Linked DNA regions of Macaca fascicularis. The protein of the gene in region 3 interacts with the protein of the main gene of each other region in a pairwise test. Links are inferred from orthologs where the notes say so. Each region holds a gene or a part of one and is shown on either strand. Other genes may lie near its edges.

Region 1 (5,396 bases), about 44 Mb from region 3:
GGTTGAACTCCCTGTGTCTCATTTTGGTTCACCTGTGAAGTAAAGACAGCAGCATGTACCCCACAGCACTGTAGGTAAGGTCAAATGAGTCAGTGCTCATGAAGGATGGTCCTAAATCAATGCCTAATGCTGAAAGCACTCAGGAAGAGGGAGCTGCTGCTATTACTGAGGGTTTCCAGGGTTCAGGGCAAGGCCCCTCGTAATGACAGATGCACACTCAGGGATTGGCTGCCAGATCCAGATGTGGAGAACAGAGACAACTGGCTGATACACAGGCAGAACCTTGCCCCACCAGCAAAAAGCTCTTATTCCCTTAGCTAACAGGTCACCATAATTTTTTTAAGATGCTGCAAGAAAAACAGACTGGATGGATGTACCCTTATAAAACTCAGTGTCTAGGTTAAGCTGGTAAGATTTGAAACACGTTTCTTTTCCCATCCCTATTCTACAGTTCGCCTGTTTGCTTCTCCATCCCTGCCCCAGCATAACTCCCACACGCCCTTCAGAAAGCAACTCAAATAGCACCTCCTCAGGGAAGCCCCACACTGATCTGCCAGACTAGGCCAGTTCCCCTGGTACAGCCTCCCATAGAACTTAACCCTCTTTGCCGTTATATTTATGTGCATACAGTTGTTTATTTAATGTGTCCCATTAGATCCCCAGAGCCCAGCACAGTGCTTGAAGCATAGAATATTCTAAATAAATTTATTGGAAATAAATTCCAGGCTGGGCATAGTGGCCCACCAGCCTGAGCAACATAGGAAGACTCCATCTCTACAAAAAAAATAAAATTTAGCCAGGCATAGTGGCACACTCCTGTAGTCTCAGCTACTAAGGAGGCTGAGGTGGGAGAACTCCTTGAACCCAGGAGGTTGAGGCCATAGTAAGCCATGATCACGCCACTGCACTCTAGCCTGGGCGACAGATGAGATCCTGTCTCAAAAAAAGAAAGAGAAAAGAAAAGAAAAAAAGCAATGAAAATGAATTCCAAGTGTTTGGGAAAGTGATTTCACTCTTTGTATATTGAAAAGTAAATAGGAAATTAGGAGGAGACAGAGAGTAATAAAACTACATCCAAGTTTGTCCCGGGCAACATTACATAGCTCTTAACTATCAAAGACATATGGCAGTGTCTCATGTGGTTTTACTTTTTTTGAGGGGGGAGAAATGTTGTGGGAGTGTGGGGGAAGGTGTGCAGCAGAATCCTCCTCAAACCCTATGCCCCACCCTCCAGCCCTACGCAGAGCCTCCCTCTGCTTCCCACAGGCCCAGCCCCTCCTTGCTGACAGCTGGCCAAGTCCCAAGGATCCCCAGGTATCTCGATTCATATTTCCCAGCAGGAGTCAAGGCACCTACGGTGGAGACCACAGGACCCAACTATTATTAAGGACACATCCAACCACCATGGCCACATGCTCAGAATCTGCATATGTGAAATAGCAGAGCTGGAGTGTTGTTAGGGGCCATCTCTAGTCCAACACCCTTCCATCCACTTTATAGACGGGGACACTGAGTCCCAGATATGGAAAGGGGCTTATCCAAAGTCACACTGCTATGCAAGGATTTAACTGGACAGGTGTCCCTGCATGTGAATGCCCAATCTTCTAACAGCCTAACTCAGAGAAAAGAAGGGACTGCATCAAATGTATTGAGTAGATGATGGGGCATCGCCCAGATAAGCTCCTCAACCCTGGGCCGAGGCGTTCATTCCCACAGCTGGCATAGGGTTGTCTGTGACAACTCACAACTGAGTCCCTCTCCAGAAACTACCTTCAGCCAAAGACAGCTGCCTCGCCCAAGGTTATGCCTGGGTTCCAGGGGCAGCCCACAAGCAATGACTGGTCACTGCAGGGATACAAAACCCCACAGGATCCCCTGGATCTGCTGAGGCCGGTGTTGCAACTGCATCACAGCCCAACTTCTCCATCTGTCTGATTCCGCCTCCCTCACCCCACACTGGTGTTGTTCCCAGAGCACACACCAATGAACTTTGTATGTGCAAATCTCTGTCTCACCATCTGTTACCAGGGAAACGCAACCAAAGGCAGTGCAGCCAGGGTAGGAAGTGGTAAGACCTCCCCGTGAATCAGAGTGAATAAAATGGTTTCACCAAACACTGAGCACCTAGTAAACACCAGGTCAAGTCCCAGCCTCAAAGATCCCCAGTGGAAGTAAATGCATCCATGTCGTCTGCCTCCAAAGGGAGACCACCTGAATGCTCACCCCACTTTCTGCTACACAAAGAGCCAGGGCTACTTTGGGCCCTCAAGTACTCTTTTCTTCATCCTCAAGCCTGTATATCTATGATGGTTGCTGTTTCAGAACAGGGGAGCAGCCTGCTTAGGAGAGCTGACATGTCCTCTGAATATGTACATGCCATTTGGGTCATTTCACATACTTTATCTTAGTTATTGTTTCTGCCTTCCTGTGAGGTAAGAATTTATGACCACCGTTTTGCAAAGGAGGAAAGTGAGCCTTTGAAAACCTTTTCCCAGATAAAGGAGCCTGTTACCTTCAGAGCCAAGATTCCATCCCAGGTGGCCACGCCCCATGGCCCAGGTTCTTATTCCCTATACCCCACTGCCTTTCTTCAGACTTCAGCAGATGCCTTAATGCAGCCTAAGCAAGCGGATGCCAGGGTTCCAGCCATGTCTTTCTGGAGCTAGAAAAGTCAGAATATGCCTTTGACTTGCTTACTTCTCCTTTTTAAGGAAAACTCTTATGCCAAAGTTGCAACGGACCTGAAGTTTCGCCAGTGTTAACTTTAAAAGTTGGGCAGAAGGGTTAAAACGTTTTGCTCTGATGCCTGTTTATGTTTCCAGAGCAAAGGAAGAAGATCGTAATAAGAAATGCTCTCATCTATTGGGCTGTACCTGCAGGAAGGTAGGGGGTCTGGATGGAGGCCCCTCCCAGTTCTCAGATCTTCTCCAGAGACCTGCGCTCCGTTCACTTCTCCCGGAGCTGAGCAGCTCCCTCTTCCGCTCTGCTTCTGCTGAAACTGGAGCGGAGCTGGTGGGGACCCTGACAGCTACAGCGTTTTAGACACTGATGCCTCTGCCCCATGAAGAGGAAGCCAGGGCACACGGAAAGCCACTGCCCTGGCCAGGGTTCACTCTCATCCCTGGGGGGTCCTGCAATTGCCCTTCCTGAACTCTCTGCCAAGCACATGGTAAGCATTCAGCCAGCCTCTGCAAAGACAGGCATTGTGTCCTACTGCAGCACACATGTGTGCCCCCACACACTTACATGTGAGCACACACACCACTGACACACTCACTCATATACTACACAGTGTGGCCAAAACCATGCTTCCACTCCCCTGGGAGGTCGTCAGGAAGGGTCCACCCCTGCATTCCAACCTCCCCTGAGTCCCCTGGGATAGGAGAAGCAGCTCCACTCACCGTTCTGCCTTCTCGGGAAGACTCTCTTCTGCAAACTCATCACACAGGGTTTGAAGGAGGGAGAGAGAGTTGTCAAAAGTTCCTCCAAACCAGGATCAGGGGTCCATGGGAGGGTCGATGGCAGCTTCTCGACTGGGAGTATTTGAATATGAGTTAAAACTACAAAGTAACTCCTCGTTACAACTGTTTTTTTCCTCGGCAGGGAGGGAGAAAAAAAAATCCCTTTCCCTCTGCCAGAAAATCTTTAACGTTTCACAACGGTCGTTTCCAACTCCTGCCCTCCTTGAGAAGCAAATGTGTATAAAGGCAATGTTATTTCACTGAATCAAGCCCTCAGATCATAAGCCTTTTCCTGTACCACAAACAGAAATGTAAAACCTCAAACTTTCCTTTGGACTTGGAGTCTGTTGTGAGAGGGCAGAACACAACCCTTTCTGAGGTCTAATGTATGGAAAATGTGCCGCACTGTTTAGATCATCGCAAGCACTTGAATCTCTGCCCCTCTCTTCTACTGTGTTTTTTTTTTTTTTTTTTTTTTTTAATGAGTTCTGGTGTGTTTATGTAATTGCATGGGACAAACACAACACCTAAAATCCTTGCCCAAAGTTGAAGTGATTCATTTTCTCCTTCACACACACCACACACAAACACAGTGCCTGTTTAATCCAAGTGAAAACGCCTTTCATAAAATCTGCAAAGAGCTTGGGCAGAGAGACCCATGGTGAATGCAGCCTGTGTCCTGAGAAGGGCAACTGGGCTCGGGGGAAGGTGGAGGCAGACTTTAATCAACACAAACAGAAGGCGCTCTGACTCCTGCCATGCCAGGACAAAAAAGGGATAAATGAAAAAGGGATTTGGGCTCTGGGTAATGGTGCTGTAAAATGTTTTCAGCCTACTCTATCCAATTTCCTCTGCTTGCCTTCTCATACCAGGACATTTTATTTTTGGACTTGGACAAGATGTACTATTATTTAAAATGACCAATTTGACCGCTGGGTTAAATAAATCCTTGGATCACCGTTGGAAAGACCAAAAGAATATACAGTGAGTGGGCAAACAGAACTGAAACCTGAGAAAGTAATATCCACCCCTCTAGTGGAAGAGTGTGATGATTTTCTGGACATAGCAATGTGAGACTGAATGGAAGGGAAAGCCTGCTCTGTTTGATAGAGAGAGAAAAACTTACCAGGAAAGCAAGTGAGACAGATCCTGGTCTAGTCCCTGAGTTATCTGTCACCAGCCAAGGGCCCCAGGTGTTTTTGGGATGGACCCCCTGCCGTGGTGCCTCTGCTACCACTCAGGGCTCCAAAGAATCATGGCCACTGGCATCACCATCACTCTGCTCAATCCACTGCCGAGACACTGTGACTTTCCTATTCCCTCCGCACCCCTCACCCCCATGCAAACATGCTTTAGATAATCATTTCTCAAGGCAGTGCTACAGGTTGCCAGAGAAACTCTGCTATCAGCACCTGGAGTCAGAACAGCTCCCTGAGAGCCATCATCACCCCTGGGTGAAGGTGGGGACCCCACACTGGCACTTCGTGGCCCTTCCTTACTCTGATTATTGAATGAACTGCCCAGACTCTGAAACTGCAGGATGCTGCAGCTGTGCCAGGAGCACTGTGAGGGCCAGAAACTGGCCTTGCATGTTAGTGGTACCCAACGGCAGCAACGACAGGCAATAGGCTAGACAAATTCTGGGAATACTCTGCAGATATTAAGATGATGTGAGGCCGGACACCATGGCCCACGTCTGTAATCTCCGCACTTTAGGAGGCCGAGGTGGGTGGATCACCTGAGGTCAGGAGTTCAAGACCAGCCTGGCCAACATGGCGAAACCCCGTTTCTACTAAAAATACATAAATTAGCTTAGTGTGGTGGCGTGTGCCTGTAATCCCAGCAGCGTGGGAGGCTGAAGCAGAAGAATTGCTTGAATCTGGGAGGTGGACATTGCAGTGAGCCGAGATCATGCCACTGCACTCCAGCCTGGGT
Region 2 (5,281 bases), on a different chromosome or scaffold from region 3:
CATCACAATCCAACTCTAATGACCACTGAGGCCTTATCTTCTGCGCCTATCCCTTCATTCCCCGCTTTCTGGAAAATTTCTTGCCATGCCCTGAGTGATTAATGCTCTTTTTTGTTGCCATATTAATGCATGATGCTCTCTATCCAGAATGATCTTTCATACCTAGTAAGCTTATACTTATTCAAGAACCAGTTTAAATGTCAGCAGCTCAAATACCACTAATTCTGTAAAATCTTTTCTAATTCCCCGGGGTAGATTTTATTATTTCCTCCTTAGTGCTCCAAAGCACTTTGCAAATATCTCTGTTATACAGTACTTATCAAACTGTATTATAATTATCTATTGTATTCATCATTTTATTTCCTACTTTGTACAAAAGCTTTCAAAGACTAGATGACAAGAATATTCTTTGTATCTCCCAGTTGTGCCAAAATAATGCTTGGCACACTGCTTACTTTCAGTAAGCACTGAGGAGTAACTAGGTTGTACCTCCCACCTTATTGTGAGCATCTGTGTGCCGGATGACATTCCTCAGGAGAACTTTCCCCAGTGGAATCCGGGACATTCTTCAATCTGAAATGAATCAACAAATAACGTTTAGTAATAATTTATTTTATTACTTTATCTTTTCTTAAATTTTATAAAGAAGCATGAGGTAAAGGAAAGATCACTGAACTAGAAGTCAAAGATCCTAAATAATAGTTTTCCCTTTACCATTAAAAGAGGGAAATGCCTAAACACACTAATGTGAGATGAAAGGAGATAATGTACATTAAAGTTCTTTGAAAATGCACAAGACTGCATAAAATTAAGTGCTTTCATGAGCACCATTTTATTTAATCCTCATAACTATTTTTTATATGAGGCAAATATCTCCATCCCTATTTTGTAGATGAAGTTCCCTTAAACTTGTCATGCCCCAAGCCACATAGTCCCAGGCAAATGATGTATATCAATGTCTAGATTAAAAATCAAACCTCCAATCCCAATATTAGTTTGCAGTGAAGCAAATACGTAGATTTGAGAGTATCAGGAACCACAGGTGTCAACAGTAACAGAAACTGATGACTCAAAACATCAAATGCAAAGATGTCCTAAACTTCTCCATTTGGGAGCATTTTATTTCCTACTTGGTACGGAAGCTTCCAAAAACTAGATGACAAGAATATTTTCGTGTGTAGCTAGCACGGGCTTTGTGCAACCACCCCAACGCTCACTCACCCCTTGATCCTGAGGAAATCAGGCATCTTGTTAGTGAGACGAAGAACCACTCCATTACAAGATCTCCTCCGACCCAGGAAGCCAAGGAGTCAGGGCTCAAAGGCAGCTCTGCAGCTTCACCCGAGTCCTTCGTGAAAACGCAGCCTTCCCACTGGTTAATCTGCCCTCACCTGTGGCCCAGGCCACTGCCGCCTTTCCCCCAGCCCAGATCGACAGGCAGATCTCTCTCGCGGACTGAGGCCGGAGACTGAGCCGGCGCGGAATTCGGACAGCCCGGTTGACCCGGGCATTCCCCCCTCACGCTCCTCTGGGACGAACCCCGGGGGTAAGTTTCACTCCCCAGAAAGGATGGGAACGCTTTGGATGGCTATGGCCTTCGGTTGGGCGCCAGGAAGTATCTAGGGGGCCTGAAGCGGGGGTTGAGGTTTCCAAGTGGAAGACAGAGGAAATATCCCCATCTTTGTCACCGGGATCCCTGTCCCCCAGCGGCCTCGGAGCTCCCGGTAACCTCCCCTCCAAACGCCCTCCCCACACAAATACACACAAACACACCCATACCGTGCGCCGCTGCCTCGCGTGGCGGGGGGTAGGGGGGAAGAAGCGGTTTGGGAGAAAAAGGAGGAGACTTCCTTCTCAGGCCGGAAGTGGTGCTCCTGAGAAATAGTCCCACCAACAGGCAGCCCAGAGACTCCCAGAAGGGAGGGTTTTCAGGACACTCCAGAGGTTGACGGGTGCAGAAGGGAGGCGGGCGCTTTCCTGGAAGAGAAGTGGATCGGGCCCAACTGAAAAGCAAGCCTGGTACCAGAAGGGGGACATTCCGGAACTAGATATGAGGAGACTTTTCTGCCTGAAACTCCCCGGACCCAATTAGATGTTGTACCCAGGCTGGTTACCCTGGTAACAGGCGTCGCGGTTTGTCAAGGAGCTGAGAGAAGAGGTGGGTTTGCCAGCCTATAGAATGACTACCCGTTAGAACAGAGAAGAGGTGGGTTTGCAGACCTATGGAATGATTACCCGTTAGTTAAGCTTCCCATTTAGCGTAACCCTTACACAGTAGTTGAAGAATCTAAACCTTTTTGCCTCGTTCTAAAGATGCTGTGGGACACCTCTCCAATGGGAGAAGAGGCTCTGAAGACGTAGAGAAGTGTCCCAGCCTCTCTATTAGCTTCCTTAATCCTCGCAATAACCCTATGATAATATAGGTATTATCGTCTTCATTTTGAACAGAGTAAGAGGAATATATATATATGTATATGTATGTGTATGTGTATACACACACACACACACACACACACACACACACACACACACACACATTAATTGCTCAAGGTCATACAGCTAGTGAGAGATAGAACTAAGACCGGAATCTAGGCATTCTGGCTCGCAAGTCCATGCTTTGAATTACTAAACTATAATGAGGATTAAGGAAGTCTCATGTGGCCCTCACCCCATACACACCTCTGGCAATTTCAGAACTGGGGAGCCACCAGTCAGTGAGGTGTTGGAACAAGAAGATCAGGAAACCCAGATTTAAAATGATTGCTCTGACTTGTCAGGGTCCAAGTAGAAGTAAAGTCTTATCTGAGAGGACAATGTGAGAATTTAGGAAGAGGTACTAGATAATTAAAGAATAAGGAAAACATAAAGTGGTGCTGCTGATCCACAATCTTTTAGACACAAATGCTAAGTCCTAACTTCACCAAAACAATTCCTGGCCCATTCCGCCTCCCCAAAGCAGAAATGAATCAACAATTACACAGGGCCGGGCGTGGTGGCTCAAGCCTGTAATCCCAGCACTTTGGGAGGCCGAGACGGGCGGATCACAAGGTCAGGAGATCCAGACCATCCTGGCTAACACGGGGAAACCCCGTCTCTACTGAAAAATACAAAAAACTAGCCGGGCGAGGCGGCGGGCGCCTGTAGTCCCAGCTACTTGGGAGGCTGAGGCAGGAGAATGGCATAAACCCGGGAGGCGGAGCTTGCAGTGAGCTGAGATCCGGCCACTGCACTCCAGCCTGGGCGGCAGAGCGAGACTCCGTCTCAAAAAAAAAAAAAAAAAAAAAAAAAAAAAAAAATTACACAGACAGTTTTCTTCCCAAAGTCATGTCTTTCCACAGGCTTAAGAAAATTATTCACCACTCATCAGTCATGGAGACATCCTCAAAGGGTCTGCTCACCCAAGTTACTCAATTTTGGAACCTCCTAGATGATCTAGCTGAAAGTGACCCTGAGGGCTATGAGAAGTTTATTCAACAGCAGCTGAAAGAAGGGAAACAGCTCTGTGCTGACCCACAACCACAGCTTTGTCTACAGACCAGGATTCTGGTATGTCGAGTTGGTGCCAGGGATGGGGAGGTCTTGAATAAAATGATCCCAGAGTAACCACAGAATACTTTGCACTTAGGCATTGCTTTTTTTTTTTTTTTTTTTTTTGAGACAGAGTTTTGCTCTGTCACCCAGGCTGGAGTGCAATGGCATGGTCTTGGCTCACTGCAACCTCCGCCTCCTGGGTTCAAGCGATTCTCCTGCCTCAGGCTCCCAAGTAGCTGGGATTACAGGTGTGCACTACCATGCCTGGCTAATTTTTGTATTATTAGTAAAGACAGGGTTTCACCATGTTGGCCAGGCTGGTCTTGAACTCCTGACCTCAGGTGATCTACCCGCCTCAGCCTCCCAAAGTGCTGTGATTATAGGCATGAGCCACCGCGCCCAGCGGACTTTTTTTTTTTTTTTTTTTTTTTTTTTTGAGATAGGGTTTTGCTGTCGCTGAAGCTGGAGTGCAGTGGCACAATCACAGCTCACAATCACAGTTCATTGCAGCCCAAACGATCCTTCCACCTCAGCCTCCCAAGTAGCTGGGATCACAGGTGGGCACCACCACACCTGGCTAATTTTTAAATTATTTTTGTAGAGACAGGATCTCCCTATGTTTCCCAGGCTAGTCTCGAACTCCTAGGCCTCAAGCGACCCTCCTACCTCGGCCTCTCAAAGTACTAGGGTAACATACGTGAGCCACCACCCTGGTCTGGTTTCCTGATTAAAAGCCAGCAACCTTGGGGAAATCAAGTAACAACAGTATAATCAAACACAATTTTAATACCTAGGCTGCAGTGCAATGGCACAATCTTGGCTCACTGCAATCTCTGCCTCCTGGGTTCAAGCGATTCTCCTGCCTCAGCCTCCTGAGTAGCTGGGATTATCTGCCACCACACCTGGCGGACTTTTGTATTTTTAGTAGAAATGGGGTTTCACCATGTTGGCCAGGCTGGTCTCAAATTCCTGACCTCAGGTGATCCAGGCACCTCGGCCCCCACAAAGTGCTGGGATTACAGGCATGAGCCACCATGCCTGGCCTTAAATGGTTTTAAACTAGGTTTTGAGATGTGCAAAATTATTTGCTTTCCAGAAACCAAAAGAAAAAATACTTTTTATCAACCTGTGTCAGTGGACAAGGATCCCACCTCCCCAATCAGCCACTCATCCAGTACCTCTAACTGTTGGCAAACCAGAAGATACAACTGAGACATCAGGTACAAATAATTAAGGGAGAGAAAGCACATTGTACAAATTTTATTAGGAATGGACAAGATTTTACTTGGTTGAGAGCATTTCAAGTAAAATTCTTTATTTGGTGATAACAGAATTACAATTAGTGTACCTTTATGCAAATTTAATAGTTTAACTTTTGTAATAAGATGCGGTTTTAATCCATGTAAAAGTGCCAGGAAATGTCATAATTGCTGTAGCACTACTGTGATTACCTCTGAAAAATACAGGAATATTCTCTAGCTTTATCAGGAATATGGTTTAATATATTGCCTGACAGTATCATTAGTGCAACAATTTATCTTCATTTCATACCCTTTCATTTACACACACAGATGCTTACACGGTCATTGATGTTGCCTACAATCCTGATGTTCTTCAGGCAGCAGAAAAGAACCAAGTGGAAAAAAATCAGTTAATTCAGATGGCCATGAAATGCATTGAGGAGCAATTCCAGTTCACCCTTTCACACTCTTACCATATTACCAAATTTAGAATAAAAGGAAGCATTCAA
Region 3 (4,799 bases):
CTGAATCTGTACAGAGAATGAGAAAATGTTCCTGAAGGTGCCTATACACATGTTTAAGAATCAGTGATTTAAACTACCCATTTGCTTTCACAAAGGAATTCTAATTTACTCAAAAGAAAATTTCCACATAGGGATTCAGAGAACATTATATCATCAGTTAGTCTTGTAGACTGATTTAGAAACTGGGTATGTTAACTATAAAGATCCAAGGTAAAATAAAAACCATTTCATCACCATAGTTTTTAATGAAGAAACTTGTTTAAAATTGTAAAGGAAAAAATGGGAATGGGACGGCAAAATCTTAGCAGCAAAGTGGTTAAACAAATTGAAAATATTAATGCACAAACATTAAAATATTAAAGCATATATGTTGCATATAAAATACAGTACAGAACCAGGAGTTGCACTATACTGATTAGTGCTTAACAGAAGAAATGATTAAATTTGTTCCTCCCAGAAGTATATACACAGTTCATTTCCACAGCATTTTCCTATAGAGCCAGCAAGTTATTTTCTTCAGTAATTCACACCTTGATCAAACCTGAATTATAAACTTAGCACTTACAAATATGAAAATTCATTCACAAGGAAAAACAGTATTTCCATTTCACCAATAAAAATTTTGAAAGTTAACAGTCTATTCTAGGAAACCAAGCTTAGCTGAAAACTTCAGGGATGAAGATCATCTGTTGTAGCAGCATTCAAATATATAAACAGTAAAAATAAGACTTAAAACTGCTGCTACAGTGTCATGTTTTGGATTTAGTTCATCCAATTGATTTTTAGTACAAAACTAGAAATACCCTCTTCTTCATAACATCTATAGTTATCAATATATTTTTCTTCTTTTCAATGTGAAATAATACTTCAAGATGATCTATATACACAATGTTGTCAGTTCAAGCTGTCATATAAATATAAATGCTTTCTTAAAAAAAGTATTTTACAGACAGATAGTGTTATATACATTGTTCCATTTGATCTGGGGCAAAAGAAAAAAGCTAACACAAGCTTAAGTGTGATATATAAAAAGAACGATACATAAATGATGTTTAAAAACCTGCATAGAAAATGAGCTTCAAATGGTAGTGTGATTTTAATTTTTATCACCTCTGAAACTTCAAGCCATTAAAAAAAAGGCACACTTCTCAACTTTATCCCTCTAAGGGAATGTTCTTAAAGAACCCTTTCCTTGGTTAGAGTTTTAATGTAACACTTAAGAAAACAACAACAAAAACAAAAACAGACAATCTGACTTCAAGGTACTTTAAGGTTTGTTGGAACATTTATCCAACTATTTTGTAAATTAAACATCCAGTAATATAATGCTCTGCAAAAGAAATACATTTATATGTACAAGATACTTCATTTACAATGTTGGATTAAATACTTTCCTGGGATAGTTTAGCACACATTTTAACATAAAATAATTTTGCTTTTGGCCAGTTTAAATAAAAATAAAATGTAACTGATAAAAAGTTATCATTGTTATGTAAATAATAAGCACTGAGGATTAAGCTAAAAAATTAGTAACACAGCTGAACATATTCTGGTTTAGCAGAATGATAAATGAAGATCTCAAGAGGAAGCTTTTACACTGACTATCCAGTCAAACTTTCTGCCTTGTAAAACATTTGTAAATGCAATATAATTTTTTGAAGGAGGAAACTCTGAAAGAAAACAACTTGCTGGTTGAATACCACAAAAACAACTAAAAAACTTCACTTTTTTTCTATGTTTGTTTACTCAGTCTTTTTATATAAAAATAAGTGTTACGTTCCCATCAAAACATTAGACAATTACATCTGTGCTTTAACAAAAAAGTTGGTCACTCAAGGCTATTAGAGTATTTTTAAGGATTTTAGATTACCAGAATGTACAGATATAACTCAATATAAATTGTAGCCAAAGAGAAATAAGGATGACAATATCAAATCATTCACATGGAATAAAAACATTATTAACTAGATGAGTTAAATATTCAAAATATATGGAATGTGACAGTAGATATACATATATATATATCTACTTCAGAACTAGGAAGGGGAAGAAAAGTTTAATATGTAATAATTCGTACCTTACATTTAGTTAAATATAAACATTTGTTATTTATACATAAAACTGCTTTCAAAAAACAACTAATAAATGATTTAGTTGCACTTGTTTCACTTCTTGTAATTGCCAAGTGTTAACTTTTCTTAAATTGAAATCAACTGTCCCCTAGTGCACTTTTATTTTTAGTTCATGTCCTAATAAATTCAAACCTTTAAAAGTCCCATCACCTAATGCATAAATATACAAAAATGCCAAAAAATTAATCCCTTTTAGTTGGATCATATTTTATGCTGACTTTTTATAGCCAAATAACCAGAAATGGTTTCCTTCTGCAAATACTCTACAACCTGTAACAAAATACGCCATGCACTCAAGGGAAAAGTTAGGCATGGCGTGAAACGCCAAGAACTGATGAGTTCTGCTTCCTCCATGTGTGGCCCCAGTGATACCAGGCAAGATTCCATATTGCTTGCCAAAAGCTTCCACAAATCCAAGTTAGCTAATTCCTGGAAACAAAGATTTTAAGCTCATTTTGGCACTGGACCATTTCATCCAGCAGCTTTATGTTTCCCACCACAGCAACCACATGCCTCACCACAGCGATGGCACATTCTCAAAGGGACGTAGCAGCACATACATGGTACAATGAAAGACAAAGCTACCAGGGCTAACCATCGCAAGCAGAACTTGTCGTCGCTAGTGTCACACGAACAGGGATCAGAAAAATCTCCCTCTGAGTCTGACATACAATGATACAACATGCTCTCTGCACAGAGCATGCAACTAACTTGATATATGCATCTTTTAATAGGGTCTGGAGCATCCTGACATTTTCCCCTGACATTTTCTTCATGATTAAACCTTTCCTGGCAGTATACGCAGCGAGAACGTTCACCGTCCTCTTTTCTTCGTTTTGACTTCTTAATTTTTAATGAGGAAGGCTGCGTCTTAAATACCACAGAGTCTTTAGGTGAACTTAACTTAGTCTCCTCCCCACAAGAGTACAGATAGTCTGATTTTTTACTGTCTGGTTTAGAAAACTGAATACTGGAATCAGCATCATCTCTTTCCAAGTCATTTTTCCACATGTCAGGATGTCTGTAGTCTGCATAGCGACGTATTAAGATATCTCGAGGGTTTATTCTGACAATCTCATCCTCATCTTGAAAGCTGACATGTCTGATTGATTTTAAAGGGACCTAAAAAAGAAACAGATAAAAACTGCAATGAGGGCTATGATGCTTAATTTTATGTGTCACCTTGGTGGGGCCACAGTGTCCAGATATTTGTTCAAATATTATTCTGGATGTTTCCATGATATGTTTTTGGGATGAGATCTACATTTCAATTGGTGGACTCTGAGCAAAGCACAGTACCTTCTGTGATGTAGGTGGACCTCATGAAATCCACTGAAGGCTTTACTAGAACTAAGGCTGAGCTCCCCCTGAGCAAGAAGAAATTTTGCCAGCAGGGTGCCTCTGGACTCAGACTACAACTATTTCTTGGGTCTCCAGGACAGCCTACCCTGCAGGTTTTGGATCTGTACCTCTACTATTGCATGAGCCATTTCCTTAAAATAAAATCCGTCCGCCCGTCCCTCTGTCAGTCCCTCCGTCCGTCCGTCCGTCCGTCCCTCCCTCCATCCATCCCTCCGTCCGCCCGCCCATCTGTCTGTCCGTACGCCTGCCCATCTGTCTGTCCATATGCCCGCCCGTCCGTCCATCCGTCCGTCCGTCCATCCGTCCGTCCGTCCATCCGTCCATCCATCCATCTATCCTGTTGGTTCTACTCTGGAAAACCTTGACTAATACTGATTTTAGTGTCAGTATTAGTCAAAGTGCGGTGTCACTCTAACAAATACCTAAAAATGTGGAAATGGTTTTGGAACTGGGTAATGGGTAGAGGTGGAAAGTATTTTGAGATGCATGTTAGAAAGAGCCTTGAAGAGACTGTTGCTTCTAAATATGGACTTTAAAAGTGACTCTGGTAAGATCTCAGACGGAAATGAAGAACATGTTTTGGACACTGGAAGGAAGGCAACCTGTGTTATAAAGCAGCAAATAACCTGGCTAAATTGTGTTCTTGTGTTTTTTGGAAAGTAGAACTTGTGAGTGATTAACCTAAATATTTAGCAGATATTTCTAAGCAAAGTGTTGAAGGTGTAGTCTAGTTTTTCCTTGCTGCTTATAGTAACATTCGAGAGGAGAGAGAGAAATTGAAAGAAGAAACTGTTAAGCAAAAAGGAAGAGAACATGAAGATTTGATACGTTCTACGTCTATCCATTTGCAATAAAATGAGAAAGCATGTTCAGAGAGAATATCTAGGGTGTGGTTGGACAATCATACGGTAAAACGAAATGCTGTCAATCTGGATTGAAGGGGACAGAGTCAGGACAAAATGAAGGAAGACTGTTGGACTTCTGGAATTCTACAGGACGGGCCAAGGAAGTAATGTGAAATATGACTATCTTTCAAGAAAAGGGAAGAATGAGCCTGAAGGCAGGCAGTTCCAGAGGGTGGGGTCAATTCCTCAGTGTCAGTGGGCCAGGCTTTAGCAGCCCAGAGCCCTGGGGGCAATGCTGACACCTATAGCTGAGAGGGTGGGGCTACCATTCCAGCGGGCCCAGAGGGCAGAACATTAAAACTAAAAGGATTATTCTTAATCCTAAAATCTTTTTTAAAAAATCTTAAAATATTTTAAAAGGTTTAAAAATCTAATGGAATTATTGTAAGGTTTTGGAATT
Region 4 (4,753 bases), on a different chromosome or scaffold from region 3:
CTGGCCAAATTTTTAAATTTTTTGTGGAGACTAGGTCTCACTGTATTGCCTAGGCTGGTCTCAAACTCCTGGCCTCAAGCTGTCCTCTCATCTCAGCCTCCCAAAGTACTGGGATTACAGGCATGAAATACGGTGCCCGGCCTGGAGAAATTCTAAAACATATACCTTTTCTTGGGTCCCCAGTGACTCGTTCAAGACTGGGCATATCATAAGCATTCTGTAAATATTGTGGAATGAATGCAATCTTCCCAGTCCTTGCTTTAAAAAATTCCAGGAGCGTCTGTTCCCTCCAAATTTCTTGGCATGGGTTGGAGGTCCTTTGTAACCAACCATCTGCCTCTTTGACCCAGTTACAAGTTATTGAAGGTTGGCTCATGTCTGCTTCATCTCCATCACTGGCACAGGGCCTAGCACACAGTCAGTCTCAATAAATGCTCAGGGAATGAATGGATTAATGAGAAGCCAAATGTCAGTAGAGGATTTCTACTTGTACAGAGAAAAGAGGGAGAGAAGCTCCCTACTGGGGTGGCCCAAGAAAGTCTTGAGGTAGAAATTGGGAGACAGTGCCAGGGGGACACACAAGGAACCTGCCTCAGGTCCCTTCTCAGGACAGAAGCCTGCCAAGGAGGGTGGGGGCTGACTGCAGAAAGCCCAAAATGGCAAGGAGAGGAGTCAAGGTCTTAGTCTGTGGGCATGGGAGCCATGGAAGGTGTGAGCCGGAGGGGAGAGGATGAAGACTGTGGAGTGCTGCACGGTTAGTGAGAAGGAGAACTGAGACCTGGAAGGCGGGAGACCTGGGGGACCAAGAGAGGAAACCTGCCTGAATGCAGGTGTTGTGAGGGGAGAGAAGGCCCAATTATGGGGGAGTGTCACGAGGGGAAGGAACCTGCAGCCCCACCCTGTGTGTGGCAGGGGAGGGGGCAGCTGTGGCTGAGGCAGGGCCTTGCCCTGGACCCAGTCGGAGGAAGCCCTCTGTCCCGCAGTCCCCGCCATGGGGAAGACCAACAGCAAGCTGGCCCCCGAGGTGCTGGAGGACCTGGTTCAGAACACTGAGTTCAGCGAGCAGGAGCTGAAGCAGTGGTACAAGGGCTTTCTGAAGGACTGCCCCAGCGGCATCCTCAACCTGGAGGAGTTCCAGCAGCTCTACATCAAGGTGGGCGGCCGGCACCTGGGGTGGCGGGAACCAGGTACCCGGGGTGGGAGAGGCAGGGCACCCTGGGGTGAGCGCAGGCGAGGCACCCGGGGTGGGAGGAGGCGAGGCAACCAGGGTGGGAGGGGAGGCGAGGCACCTGGGGTGCGGGGGAGGTGAGGCACCCGGAGTGGGAGGAGGCGAGGCACCCGGGGTGCAGGGGAGGTTCCCTGGGGTGGCGGCGGGCTGGGCGGAGCTGTTGCTGCGCCCTAACCCGCCGCACTCCCCTCAGTTCTTCCCCTACGGCGACGCCTCCAAGTTCGCGCAGCACGCTTTCCGCACCTTCGACAAGAACGGCGACGGCACCATCGACTTCCGGGAGTTCATCTGCGCCCTGTCGGTCACCTCCCGCGGCAGCTTCGAGCAGAAGCTCAACTGGGCCTTTGAGATGTACGACCTGGACGGCGACGGGCGCATCACGCGCCTGGAGATGCTGGAGATCATCGAGGTGCGGGGCCGCGTGGGCGCTGCTATCCCCGAGGCCAGCGCTTCGCCGCCCCCGCCCCTGCCTCCGCGCTGCTCTCGGTCCTCGGGGCTTTCCCGCTGCTTCCAAGCCTGCGATCCAGCCTCCTACCACCCCGCGGGGGACCGCAGGCCCGGGCTAAATGCTTTACCCGACACTCGACGGGGGGTGGTGGTTACTGTCCCAAACCCCATTTGGCAGAGGAGGAAACGGTCGCGGGTGGTGGTTCCTGAAACCAATCCAGGGAGTCTGACCTCATAGCAGATGTTTTTAACTCATTCTGTCAACAGGCAGGGATTGAGGGCCTGCCAGTTCCTGCTTTCATGGGGCATTCCTTCTAGTAAGAAATTTAAAAAAAAATAAATGAAGGAAGACATGCGGGGTCAGGCCTTAGGTGCTATGAGGAAGATACATTAAGCAAAGTGCGGGGAGAGAGCATGATGGAGAAGTGACTTTGTAAAAGGTGGAAAGTTAGCAGCAGCCTGAACGGGGTGAGGCCGTTACTGCTAGATGCCTGGGGGAGAGCGTTCCATGCTGAAGGGCAATTAAGGCAGGTCGGCCTTTCTCTGCAGCGTTCAAGGAGGGGCCAGGAGGCCCGGTGGTGGGAGAGCCACGAGAGGGAGAGAGTGACAGGAAGGTGGTCATACGGGGAGCCAGGAGCCCCATCAGTCAGGTCTCCTAGTTAGGAAACTTCCATGAAGTTGGGTTTCTGGCATGTTTCATCTACATAAATATTATTTAGTCTAAATAAAAAATGAGTTGGGGGCTGGGTGCGGTGGCTCACTCCTGTAGTCCTAGCACTTTGGGAGGCTGAGGCCGGTGGATTACCTGAGGTCATGAGTTTGAGACCAACCTGGTCAACGTGGTGAAACTCCATCTGTACTAAAAATACAAAAATTAGCCGGACGTGTTGGTGCGCTCCTGTAATCCCAGCTACTCGGGAGGCTGAGGCAGGAGAATCGCTTGAACCCGGGAGGCAGAGGTTGTGGTGAACCGAGATCATGCCATTGCACTCCAGCCTGGGCAACAAGATCGAAACTCTGTCAAAAAAAAAAAAAAAAAGGAAAAAGAAAAGAAAAAAGAGTTGCTCATTAAATATCCATATCCAGTCTTAATGACCACATATACCTTCCATTATCCTAACCACCCCCCAGTGTTCTCCTTGCCAGATCCCTTTCCTTCACCCCCTGCTTCTCAGGGCCCCTTGTAGGTGTTTGCACCTCCCCCCTTCTCAGGGCCCCTTGTGGGTGTTCACACCTCCCTCCTCCTTCCCTCACCAGGCGATCTACAAGATGGTGGGCACCGTGATCATGATGCGCATGAACCAGGACGGGCTCACGCCCCAGCAGCGTGTGGACAAGATCTTCAAGAAGATGGACCAGGATAAGGACGACCAGATTACACTGGAGGAGTTCAAGGAGGCAGCCAAGAGTGACCCATCCATTGTGTTGCTGCTGCAGTGTGACATGCAGAAGTAGAAGCTGGTGAGGGGCAGGGTCCCTGGCCAGAAGGAGCATGGCCACCTCCCAACCTGATGACCTTTCTGGCTGGCCTCCCAGGAGGAGGGACACTCCACCCCCCTCTCTGGCCCACCCAGTCCTCTGCCCAAGCCCCTCCTCCCCTCCATCAGGATCCCTGAGGGACCACCTTACCCTGCAAAAGAGACAGGTCCTCCGGTATCCTGTCTTCTAGCCCCACCTCACACTTGGCACAGAACCAGCGTCCATTGGGCATAGGGGAGTTGGCTTTTGCCCCAGGAGCTGAGGTTAAGGAGTTGGGGGCTTGGGGTTCTGGTTCAAAATTCTCTTGATCCTGGGATTATGCTTTATAGAATGTGGTCCCACCGGCCTGTCACAGGGCCAAATTGGGTCTGTCCACTCCTGAGGCTCCAGATCCCATAAAGGTGGTCTCTTCCCCATTCCTTCTACTCTACCTGGCCCTTCCAGCCCCAGCCTTTGGAGCGTTCATTCAGTCCTTTCTTCAGCTAGTGATTATTGAGCACCTGTTCGGTGCTAAGGATATGGTCGTTTACAAGACACATCTTGTGCCCTCTGGAAGCTCATAGGGTTGTGAGGCAAACTTCCAGCTGTCAGGGTCTCAGCTGAGCAGAGGGTGCTGGAAAGCTGGTTAGTCTGGGAGGAGCTATTTCATCTTCCAGCTCAGCTCCACACAAAGCTGCAGAAGGACGAAATGAAAAGCATTTGGAAGTTGAGCCACGTGAGTGAAAGTTTTAAGAAAAATGAAATTTATGTAATACTTATTTTTTTAGTACCCTTTAAAGGAGCTACAGTCATTTTATTATTTCAGGAGGTTTAAATATACTCTATATTACTTGGTTTCTTATAAAATGATTAAATGAATAGAGAAAATATTAATTTTTAAGGGGAAAAAAACTGAGAAAAAAGGGAGAAAAGACCATGAAATTTACCAGATAACACTTTTTCAGACTAAGTCCTGAGCTGCCACGCTCAGCAGTTTTTGCTGCTTCAGCTCTTCCTTTTTATTACCTTTTTCAATTCGACAAGCAACTTTCTATTACATACTTACTCAGGTTGGATGCTGACTTCAGAGACAGGAAAAAACAAGGTTTGCAAAGAGTGAGACAAGTGTATATCCCGAATCTTGGTAGTTCTTTTTTTTTTTTTTTTTTTTTTTTTTTTTGAGACGGAGTCTCACGCTGTTGCCCAGGCTGGAGTGCAGTGGCGCGATCTCGGCTCACTGCAAGCTCCGCCTCCCGGGTTCCCGCCATTCTCCTGCCTCAGCCTCCTGAGTAGCTGGGACTACAGGCGCCCGCCACCGCGCCCGGCTAATTTTTTGTATTTTTAGTAGAGACGGGGTTTCACTGTGGTCTCGATCTCCTGACCTTGTGATCCGCCCGCCTCGGCCTCCCAAAGTGCTGGGATTACAGGCTTGAGCCACCGCGCCCGGCCCCGAATCTTGGTAGTTCGTTTCTGAATTTGGTTTAGTTTCAGAACCGGACTTGTTCCTTCACTGCCACAGAATCAGAAGGAGCTCGAAGAAAAGGCTCACCTGGCCACTGTTTAGGCACCCAGACAGAATTTATGGACCAAATGCCTAAAAATGTGCCAGGCATGCTCCGT
Region 5 (4,799 bases), on a different chromosome or scaffold from region 3:
GTGCCCTGGAGAGGCTCACTCAGCATTTGTAAAATAAGTGGCCCTCCTGCCTTTATGAGAACGAGCTGGCCTCTGGCAGCACCCAGTTGGTTCCCATGATGTTCCCCGGAGCCTTCTGAGCCACTTCGTGTTCTTCACGCCACTCTGTGTTCTTAGGTTTGCTGCAAGAGCCCATCCTATCTTGGGGAAGAAGTCGTGGACATAAGTGTTTGTTTATACAAACACCACGGGAAGACAGTTGTGCCTCCATCTGAGGTCAGGGGAAGAGCAGGGTATGTGTTCAAGGCGGAGGGTAACCCATGGGTTTCTGCCTCTCCGTTAGGGTGCTCTCCTGCTACCCTGATGGCTGGAGGAGGGAGGCTCAGCAGCCTGGGCTCCCACTCAGACCCCGGTGACCTTTCCTTTCTGCACACGCTGGGGCACGTATGGAATTCTTTTCCAGGAAGGCCCTTCTGTCACTTGAGGAGAGGAGGGGGCGGTGGGGTAGGAGTTGGGGGGACTGCAAGGCTTTCCCCATTCCTGGTGCTTCCAGAAGGACCCTTCCTGTTTGCCTACCTCGCCCCTGGGAGTGAAGTGACATGCTAGATTGGTAAATTTGGGAGGAATTGCCAGGCATCTTCGCCCAGCCTTGCCCTCCCTTTTTCTCTTGGAAGGAGCTGCACGAGAGAGGATTTATTTCCATCTGCTCCTCCAAGGGCAGCACCTGGCCTGCCTGGCTCTGCACGCCTGTGGGTTTTTCAGCACGCCCTTGGACTCTCACGCTAAGCCATAGCCTCCAGTGTCTCTCTCTCTTTTGACCTCTGTCCTCTTTTATTTTCCAACTTATTCCAAACCTGACAGGAGGGGGCCTCCCCCAACAGAAACACCAACAAACATATCTTCTCCTCAGCCACAATTCCCTCCCCACCAGAACCTAGTTCTTGTTTAACGAAACCCACTTTATCTCCATGAAGGAAAAACATAGGGATGTATTTATTAATTTATTTTTAATTTGTAGAGCTGATCCCCGCCAAGCTTTGTGTTCTGGCCATTTTTTATGAGTCCTGCCCTGTCCACAGTAGTTAAAATGGTGATGACTTCCTCCAGCTTGGCAAGGCATGACAGAAGGGAGACTGGTGTGGTCTCCGAACACTTTGCAATCTCTCAGAGGTCGGCTCTGGGAGGCACCAGCTGGAGGTAGCAGGGGCAGACCTGGAGCTCGGCATGATATCTGGCTTTCTTCAGTTAACTGTCTGCATGCTTCAGAGTTGGTTCCTAGGAGAACTTGCCTGTGGGCCCAGATTTTTCTCTTCGAATCAGAGGCCAGAGGTTAGTTCCCAAGAGCATCAGGTAAGCTAAATCTAAGGGTAGGAGACTCTAGGTGAGGTCTGCTCTGCTCTAGACAGGGAGGGGTGCAGGTGGCCATAATTCTGGGGTCCAGTAGCCAAGCACTGAGCTGAAGCACCCCATCCCCTGGTTGGGCTAAGATTTCTCTGAGAGTTGTGAACTTACAGTCCCTCTTCCTCCTTCCTTCTATGGCTCCCACCCTCCTCCCCCAACCCTAACCTTTGAAAATTTAATTTAATTTTAAACACAAGGTTTTCCCTTAGAAGGGCACAGGTCTTTAGCAGTGAGTTGTGCTCTGAGAATGCTAACTCAATCAGGGCTCTGTGATCCTACAGCAGCAAAGAACCAATGGAGAGAGCCTAATTCATTGCCTACGATCAACACAGAGTTAGGGCTTTATCCTGTGACATCTGATCTTCTCCCATCCTTTAGCCCTATCCTAAAGAGGTGTCCGGACCTAGAGCACAGCACAAACCCATTGTGCTTTTGAGTACCAGTAAAATCTGCAGTTTAATATCAACAAGTTAATTAAAATAATCCCATGCTTGTTTAGTCACAACTATTCATTGTAAATCAAAGCAAATAAAGGGACATAGGATGTTTCAAAATGGAATGGCACCTTTGTGGAGGAAACAAAGCAAGCAGATTGGCCCATACCACACAAACCCAGATTCTCAGGCAGCTCTACCTGGGCGGGGGATAAAAAGAGACAGAGGCTCTCTCTATGGCGAAGGCTTCTATTGTTCTGTAGATCAGCGCCAGGTGGGGGCCCAAGTGCATGTGCACATGGTTGACAAGAATTGCCAGGGCCTCTGAACAGATCGGGTGAGCTGATAATAACAGCAAGAGCTACAGAGCCTGGCCCTGAGCTCAGCGCTTTTCACTCAAGTATAACATTTAAATAGCGTTGCCAGATCTGGCAAATTAAATACAGGACGCCCCGTTAACTTTGAATTTCAGATAAACAGCAAGTGACTTTTTTAGTTTGGCATACTAATCCTAACAATTGTTTGCTGTTTATCTGAAATTCAAGGATAATTGGGCCTTCTGTATTCTCTCTGGCAATTTAAGATCCAAAATCCTTCTGTTAAGTTTGAAATTCAACTCTCTTTTTCACTTTGTTAGGTTTGAATTGTGGGTGGCACCATCCGGGTGGGAACCTGCTGGGCACCTTACTCCCTCACCACTAGCCCTGGCACCCCAGTGACTGTGGGAGCCCACTGTCTCTGGGAAACACAACATCTCAGTGCATGCACAGGAGACTCCAACAAAACCCCTTCGGCAGGCTGGAGTGAAGGCTGTCAGCACCTGGGTAGAACAACAGAATAACAACCCTCTCCCCATTTTGATGACCTGGACTGCAGGGCCCCAGCCTGCTGTGGCCTAAGCCTGTCCCAAGGATGGGTCTGTGCTAACAATGGTTTCTTGGGTCCTTTCATTCTTGCCCCACAAGATCCATTCTATTTTCTTGGAGGTAGAAGTTGACCTACAAGGAGGATAGAAAAGACTAGAAATAAGGCATTTCCCACAATTCTGGGCTCAGTTCTCCTGTGGCCACCTGGTCCTCTCCCCTCCTACCCACTCGGGAGGCTTGGAGGATGAGCCACTCGCATGAAGGACCTCAAGTGGCACTTCCCAGTATGGACTCCCCAGTCCTTCCAGCAACCCTCATCTGAGCTAAGCAGTGCAGCCCCCGCCTCCTACCATCTCTATTGGTGTCCATCTGGCGGAAGATCTTTTCTGTTCTTTTCTCTGGGGTTGACTCATCTTCAGGCATTTTCATTACGGAGGAAACCATCTTATAGATTGCCTGGGGACAGAAGCAACATGGTGGTAAGACAGAAAAACGGTATGGCACACAATCATTAAACCTCCCAAATGCGGGTTGAAGGGAATGTCCCCATCCGCATTGGACCTAGTCCTATCCCTGCTGATTGGTATAAGATGTGGCGGCACAGGTAGAAGAAGCTAGGCCCACAAAGCTTGTTCTCCTCCCGTGAGGACCTTCAGGAGGGACAACCAGCAGGAAGACCCTGTGTCTCCAGTGTTTTTTGTTTGTTTTTTGAGATAGGGTCTCTCATTCTGTCACCCAGGCTGGAGTGTAGTGGCACACTCCCAGCTCACTGCAGGCTCCATCTCACAGGCTCAAGCAATCCTCCCACCTCAGCCTCCCAAGCAGCTGGGACTAGAGGTACTCCTTACCACACACGGCTAATTTTAAAAAATTATATATTTATATATTTATTTATTTATTTATTTATTTTTGGAGAGACGAGGTCTCACTATGTTGCCCAAGCTGGTCTCAAACCCCTGGGCTCAAGCTTCTCCTACCTCTGTCTCCCAAAGTGCTGGGATTACAGACATAAGCTACCTCTCCTAGCCATCTCCATTGTTCATGTGCACACAAATCCCCTGGGAATCCTGTTAAAATGCAGAATCTGATTGGGTAGTGCTGGGGGAAGGGGCGGGGCTGAGAGTCTGTATTTTTAATGAGCTCCGGTGTGATGCTGATGCTGCTGTTCTAAAGACCCTGCTTTGAGAGGTAAGGTCCCCACTTTGAGGAGCAAGGCTGCAGATGACATTCCTCAGGCTAGAGAGGTAAGTGGATGCCTATCACGGACCCTTGAGAGTCCACAATGACCCCTCAAGGATGACAGACATGTGACACTCTGTAAGTGTGTGCCATATGTTCCCCCCAGGCAGACTTCCAGTCCATTCCAGTGCTTTTCCCCCTGTGTGTGACAATGGTCTCACGTTCCTTCTCAGCAAGCTCCCAGGTAGTTCTGAGATGGAAACCACCTGCCATCAGAGCTCTGAATTATTACACAACCTCAGGCCTGAGCTAAACTAGGTACAGCTATGACATCTGATGGGCGAAAGAGGATTCTGTGGAGTTTTGTAAGCACTACTGAAACTATCACCCCACTGCCTGTGACCTCCACATGGGACTCAGCAAGGGCCCAAAGGCCTCTGTGGTCGAAGGTAGTTTTTATTTGGGAAGAGGAATGAAAAGTCATTGTTTTTATCCCCAGATCATGACTTTCCTAATCAGAGTCACTTTGGGCATCTTAGTCTTGGGGACAAGTTTTAGAAAAAATAAATTTTGACAGGGAGTAGGCAGAAAATTTCAGAAAGTTCTGGAGCTCTAGGGGCAGCCAGGCAGGTGGAGAGGACAGAGAAAGGAAAGCAGCTGTGGGGAGTCACCTCCAAATGGGAAAGGCGGGAGCAGAAAAAGACACTGAAGGTTCAACCGAGTTGCTTTACAGTCTTGCTCAGGACCAACCCTGCCAGAAGTCCCTTACGCGTTCTGGATAAAGTAGGGTGAGTACTCTAATCTCAGTCCAAATAAGAATGAAAACGGACTCACCCAGTGTTCTGGCCCTTAGGCTGATCCCATCCCTCAGGGACGCCTCTGGACAGGCCCCCTGAGTCTGTCTCAAACCCACCCAACGTGGTTACTGAACTCCAGAGCT
Region 6 (5,379 bases), on a different chromosome or scaffold from region 3:
TGGTTCTATTTAACTAAGTGCAAAGTTTTCTCTCTGCTTAATAAGCATGATAAACATCATCCTTACCATTATCTGTAGAATAAAAGCAGCAACGTGTTGCTTCCTGCAGTCACCAAATCAAGGTTTTTCTTCCTTTCTTTCTAGTAACTTCTGTTTCACCAGCAAGATTAGGAAGAAAATAAGTCTTGAGTATTTGCCTCAGTATTTCAGACCAGAAGACTGTGAAACTAGCTCTTAGTAAAAAGAACAGGTCTGGTATTTTACAATTACTTCTGCAACCCAGAGGTACCTCCTAGACTCTGGTACCTCCCTCGTTCTCTAAGTTTCTTTTAGTAATGAGACTAATTTTTCCAGTAGCCTTGAACTCCCTAGATTTAACTGACATGGAAAATGTGACTAAAAATTTGTAGAACTGTCTAGCCTCCAACCCTACACAGAATCAACTTTGTTGTAAATGTTGAAGAACACCTCGCAAGCAGCTACATGCTCAGTTTCTACTCCTGCACTACGCAGCAGAGAACACCAAATAACAGTGCGCCATCTAGTTAGCAAGCTGCAATCTCCATGCTAGAAGGGGGGACACTTTCAAACCCTGGGAGTTAAGAACTTGTCAGGGTTCAGCTGCTCTAAAGGTCCAATTGTTTATTTAAATAAAAAAAAAAATATCGCTACTGAGATAATCCACATCTAGTGGATATGGGAAAATTTAGGTTATAATGGCACTACAAACTTTTACATCTAACTTTGATTTACAAGATAAAAGCAAGTTTTAAATTAAAAGGGCTTTCTGTTAATAGAGCTTATTATTCTGAAGACGGGAATGATTTTCTTCGAAAGTTGTCCCTGGGTGCATGCCTATTATCTTTGCTTTTCCCCTTCCACTAATGAGCATTTATCTAAAGAGCCTGTTAATCCTCTGATGTGTGCTTCTGGTCAGAGGTAACAGTTTGAATAAAACCACTAATCACTGATCACTAAATCACTGATCATTAATCACACTTTCCAGTGCCCATGACTGGGCCATTTTTTTTTTCCTTTAAGTCTATGCATCACAAACAAGAAGTTCAACATTTTCGATGCACACATATTGTGTGGAGGTTACACTATTTCATCTCTAGATGTGAATAAATACTAAATCCTGCCACAAACTTGGGGAAGTATGTCAATTAGACCCCAGACAGGAGTTTCACAAATGTCTACCCTACAGCATGGCTTTCACTTTGAAGAAAGTAGATCTAATTATAAGAAAACATGTGTTCTTCAAGAAATTCCTCATATTGGCAATATAAATATTTCTTTATTTAGTTTTCACCAACTCCAAATCAGGAACCACTCCAATTCCCTCTCCCGCTCTATCCAAAACTCTGTTAATACTTTTATAATTTAATTTCTGCACATTTCCCTCCCCCACCCCCCCGCCAAGAGTTCTTTTTACTTTGATCCCTTGCAACAAGTCATACACAGGGTCTTTATTTCAACTGCCAGATACGGAGGTTCTGACTCAATTCAATGACTTACGTATTGAACTTCCTCTTTCAACATAGAAACTTAAGGTTAAAAGCTAGAAACTAACGCACACACCAATTTATTGTATGGAAGTTTAGGTTCAACAACTCATATTCCCTTACTTTGGAAATGAAACGTTTAGTCTTGATCCTTTCAGCTAAACCTGATTTTGTCAGCATCCTGGCTTCTTCGTCTTCCCTCTTCTGCTGAAGGGCAGGCACTACGTAAAGTGAAGTACTTTGTTTGCAGTGGGTGTATTGCCTTCCTAAGTCACCACCACGAGGACAGAGTATTATCATAACGCTTGGAAACATTTCCTGATTTGCCTTTTCTATCAGGACTAAGCATTTTCGCTCTAGAGGAGAAGGCTTGCTGGTGCCTTTCTTAAATAATACAAAAGGGCAGATTGCGCGCTGATCAGGTACAGTGGTCCCCTCAGACCCCAGAAGCTTTTACCCACACTCCAGGGACTGTGCTCGCTCCAGGGAAAGCTGTAAAAGGCGGGGCCGGGGCTAGAGTGATAACGGTGTAGACGGGGGAGTGGTGGAGAGGGAGGGGTTGGGAAGAGAGGGCAATAAAGATGCCTAGGGAGGGGGCGATTGCACGAGTGTGTTGTGAGGAGGGTAGGGGGATGCACAGCAGAGTTGCTTTGTCAGCATTCTAAGCTCCTGAACCCTTGAGGAGCTCAAGCCGTTAATCAAACACTTACTGGCCTGCAGAATGACGTAATGGACCTGTATCCAGCCTTTATTCCTTGACACATGTCAGAGAAGGAGGGAAAAATAAAAATCAAACACATTCTGCAGACTGACAACGAAACATACAAGTAGCCCGCTCCAGACCCCGGCCTTGAACAAGCATCAAGTGGGGGCGGCACCGGTCCAGGGAAAGTTGGGGACGGGGATGAGAGTGTGGACAAGGTCTGGGGCTTTATCTACTAGACGTCCCTTAAAAACAACTCTATGGCAAAGAAGTGGATGCAGCTGCTGAGAGAAAACATCTCCTTGGTTCCTTCCTTCGCATCTTGCCCCTCTAAGAACTTCACGAAAAGTTCAAGTGGTTCTGCCGAGAATCTGCCGCAGGGGGAGACTCCGCCGCCGGGTCCTGGGAATTGCCTGGGCGCCGCCAAGGCTCGAGCCGGAGCTGTCATTTGGGGCAGCGGCCGGGAAGAGGTAATGATGCCAGCGAGAAAGCAGCGGAGGCAGGAGGCGGCCGGAGGAGTGGACGGGAGCGGACGGAGCCTCGCCGCTCTCCAGCCCGGAGTGCCTGGAGCGAAAGCCAAGCGCCCTCCAAGGGCGACCTTCCCTCCCCGGGCGCGCGCCAACCCACTGCAGCCAGCAGCCCCAAGGGAGAAGTGGCAGCGGCAGCTCCGCACCGGGGAGAGCGAGCCCCCTGCGCGCGCGCCCACCCGCCCCCTAGGTGACCCGGAGTCCTCGCCGCGCCCGCTGGAAGTTTGCAAACTTTCTCCGGGGATTCCGCCGCCACGCTGGGAAGCTGGGGACGCGGGGGGAGGTTCCTGGCTCGCCGTCTCCGCTGCCGCTTGACCGCACTTCTGGAGGACTCCGCACCTTGCCAGGTCTCTGGAGGCAAACACACACCCCCGATTCATAACTGGTCCCCGCGTCAGGGGACTCGCGCGCTCCCACACACGCACGCACGCCGGGCGGACTCGGCGCCGGCTCCACGTTAGCATCCCTCCAGGCGCGCGGCGCGGCGGCCACCGAGCGCTCCGGCACTCACTCGGCGCGGGGTCTCTGGGGTGGCCTCAGGACACAGCCGAATTCCACAGTCTACCAGCACTCGGGGCCGGACTTCCCTCTGGTCCGCCAAAATGTTTACAAACACAGATCACCCTCCAGAAAAAAATGCATCGCATCTTCCCTACTCCTTGCCCTGTGACCTGCCCACTGGACCAAGTAACCTCGCGGCTGCTGCCGAGAACCAACCCCTGCAAACAAGTACGCTCCCGAGATGGCTCCCGCGGCAAGTGCAACAAAAGTGGCTAAATGCAAAAGCCCCAGAAGTGGCCGAGCCGTATTTTTAGGAACTTACCAAACAAGTGTGGAGAAGGCAAGAGCGGAGCCCGGGTGAAGGGACCACGTTGGACTGAGCAAAGATTACAATACATTCTATTTAGAGTGCATTACATCACCCCCCCGGTGACGTCACGTGGGATTCCTGAACTTCTAAATCATTGCGGTCCGCTGGGGAGGGACAGAGCGAGGGGCGGGGCCGGCGCGTCGAGGGGGCAGGCCCCACCCCGGCCCCGCCCAGACCCCGCCCCGCCCGCGCGGACCCTGGTGCACCCGCCGGGGAGCGGCAGCGGCGGGGGCGACTGCGCAAGCAACAGCTTGCAGAGCCCAGCGCCGTGTGACACGGCTCCCTGACATTAGTGGTGTGAGTCAGCTTGGAAACAATCCTTATGGTTTCAGACAGGACCACGGAGGAGGCGCGGGCGTGGGCTGTTCTGCGGGGAGGGCCTGATGGGGTTTGAAAGGTGTAGGGATGGGGGTTAGGGGAGAGGTGGGGAGGGGGATGCTGAAGGATGTGGGAAGAGGCTTTGCAAACAGAAATGCAGGACGCTCCTCCCTCCCCCAATGAGGATGTCCAGCTCCTTTTTGCTTGCGACAGTCATGACCTCATTTCAGTGTTCCCTGCATCCTGGCTTCTCAGAGCACTCACTTGTCACCCCTTCTTCACCGCCCCCCATCTCACCTCCTCCAGGAGAATAACTTCCTTATGGTGCACACTCTCATGAAATACACAGCCCCCACCCTTCGCGGGACCCCTGCTTCGTGCGTCTGAGAAGCTGTAGGGAGAGTTGCTCCTAAGGCGAAAGGTGAATCACAGCTAGAGCCAAGTGATGAGCCTGATTTAGACACGGCGTCAGAGCTGAAAGGGCCCTTGGCTGTCACTTCCAGAGCCTCTTCGGTAACTGGCCCAAGCTCACGGGCTGGGAAGCGGCAGAGCCAGGGCCAGACTGCAGGATCCGGGCGCCTGGTCTGCAGCGAGAGGAGCCTGGCGTCTCCAGCATCCGGCCGTCACCATCACTGTCACCATTCCCCTGCTGAATTTCCTTTCAGAAGTTCTCCCTTTGAGTAGGATTCAAAGAGAAGGCATAGACTAAATCCAGCCCGATTCTAGACGACCAGTGCCAACCTCGCAGCCCCTCACACCTTACAAAGCATTTGCAACCACGTGAATTCCCTTGTTTCTCACAACAACCCGGGTACCATAAGTAGGACAGGTATTATAATTATCCCCATTTTACAGGTGAGCTAAGGCAGACACCAGAAGGTTAGGGGGCTGGCCTGAGATCACTTGATGAGCAAGGGGTGGCACTGGGCCCACCTCAATCCCTGTTTTCAAGCCCAGATCCCAACTGGGCTCCTTCATAGAGCCAGGGGTAAACATTCCCTTCTTGTGGGTTATTGGTGGTTGGAACCTCTGCTAAGAACACATTGGCTGGGAGTTGGAGCTTTGCTTAGAAACAGTTTAGCCCCCGTTAATAAACAATAATCATTTCTGACATTTATGTAACATCTGACATTTATATAGTACCTCTCATCCCAACGCATCACAACCATGACGGTGCAGTTTGCCAGAGAATCATGACTGGACTGGCTAGAAACTGTAATACATTGCCTGGATTGTCACATACTTCTGAGCTGGTTTTGACATACTAAATGGAAGAGCTTAGCATGTTATTTCTGTTTTTAAGTGTTTAAATGGCCCCTTGCCCTTTAGTGTTCCTTGAAACCACAGGGACTGATGACTGTTTGATCCTCACAGCCTTATTCAGAGTTCATCACTGAGTTTTCTACTTAGTGTTTTCCACATGTAGTCCTGAAGGAACGACAAAAGAAGGGCTCC

Evidence for each region.
Region 1: the proteins of SPRED1 (region 3) and IL16 interact in binary tests that used the Homo sapiens proteins (3 or more experiments, as listed by UniProt). The link is inferred for Macaca fascicularis from reciprocal best matches to the Homo sapiens genes SPRED1 and IL16.
Region 2: the proteins of SPRED1 (region 3) and PIH1D2 interact in binary tests that used the Homo sapiens proteins (3 or more experiments, as listed by UniProt). The link is inferred for Macaca fascicularis from reciprocal best matches to the Homo sapiens genes SPRED1 and PIH1D2.
Region 4: the proteins of SPRED1 (region 3) and HPCAL4 interact in binary tests that used the Homo sapiens proteins (3 or more experiments, as listed by UniProt). The link is inferred for Macaca fascicularis from reciprocal best matches to the Homo sapiens genes SPRED1 and HPCAL4.
Region 5: the proteins of SPRED1 (region 3) and NCALD interact in binary tests that used the Homo sapiens proteins (3 or more experiments, as listed by UniProt). The link is inferred for Macaca fascicularis from reciprocal best matches to the Homo sapiens genes SPRED1 and NCALD.
Region 6: the proteins of SPRED1 (region 3) and CREB5 interact in binary tests that used the Homo sapiens proteins (3 or more experiments, as listed by UniProt). The link is inferred for Macaca fascicularis from reciprocal best matches to the Homo sapiens genes SPRED1 and CREB5.

The regions. Positions count from the first base shown.
Region 1 is NC_088381.1:58,648,275-58,653,670, reverse strand, and holds the start of IL16 (pro-interleukin-16), read right to left. Parts: upstream 3,565-5,396; 5' UTR 3,442-3,564; coding exon 3,402-3,441; intron 1-3,401. UniProt on the Homo sapiens protein: Interleukin-16 stimulates a migratory response in CD4+ lymphocytes, monocytes, and eosinophils. Primes CD4+ T-cells for IL-2 and IL-15 responsiveness. Also induces T-lymphocyte expression of interleukin 2 receptor. Ligand for CD4.
Region 2 is NC_088388.1:111,003,038-111,008,318, reverse strand, and holds the start of PIH1D2 (PIH1 domain-containing protein 2), read left to right. Parts: upstream 1-1,935; 5' UTR 1,936-2,158; exon of another isoform or gene 2,159-2,206; intron 2,207-3,338; 5' UTR 3,339-3,369; coding exon 3,370-3,546; intron 3,547-4,627; coding exon 4,628-4,751; intron 4,752-5,102; coding exon 5,103-5,281. Other genes in the region: uncharacterized protein NKAPD1, read right to left, coding at 497-565.
Region 3 is NC_088381.1:14,857,158-14,861,956, reverse strand, and holds the end of SPRED1 (sprouty-related, EVH1 domain-containing protein 1), read right to left. Parts: intron 3,255-4,799; coding exon 2,604-3,254; 3' UTR 226-2,603; downstream 1-225. UniProt on the Homo sapiens protein: Tyrosine kinase substrate that inhibits growth-factor-mediated activation of MAP kinase. Negatively regulates hematopoiesis of bone marrow.
Region 4 is NC_088375.1:195,215,240-195,219,992, forward strand, and holds the end of HPCAL4 (hippocalcin-like protein 4), read left to right. Parts: intron 1-983; 5' UTR 984-991; coding exon 992-1,153; intron 1,154-1,421; coding exon 1,422-1,637; intron 1,638-2,932; coding exon 2,933-3,130; 3' UTR 3,131-3,892; downstream 3,893-4,753. UniProt on the Homo sapiens protein: May be involved in the calcium-dependent regulation of rhodopsin phosphorylation.
Region 5 is NC_088382.1:111,293,565-111,298,363, forward strand, and holds part of NCALD (neurocalcin-delta), read right to left. Parts: intron 3,137-4,799; coding exon 3,031-3,136; intron 1-3,030. UniProt on the Homo sapiens protein: May be involved in the calcium-dependent regulation of rhodopsin phosphorylation. Binds three calcium ions.
Region 6 is NC_088377.1:101,859,996-101,865,374, forward strand, and holds the start of CREB5 (cyclic AMP-responsive element-binding protein 5), read right to left. Parts: upstream 3,615-5,379; 5' UTR 3,559-3,614; intron 1-3,558. UniProt on the Homo sapiens protein: Binds to the cAMP response element and activates transcription.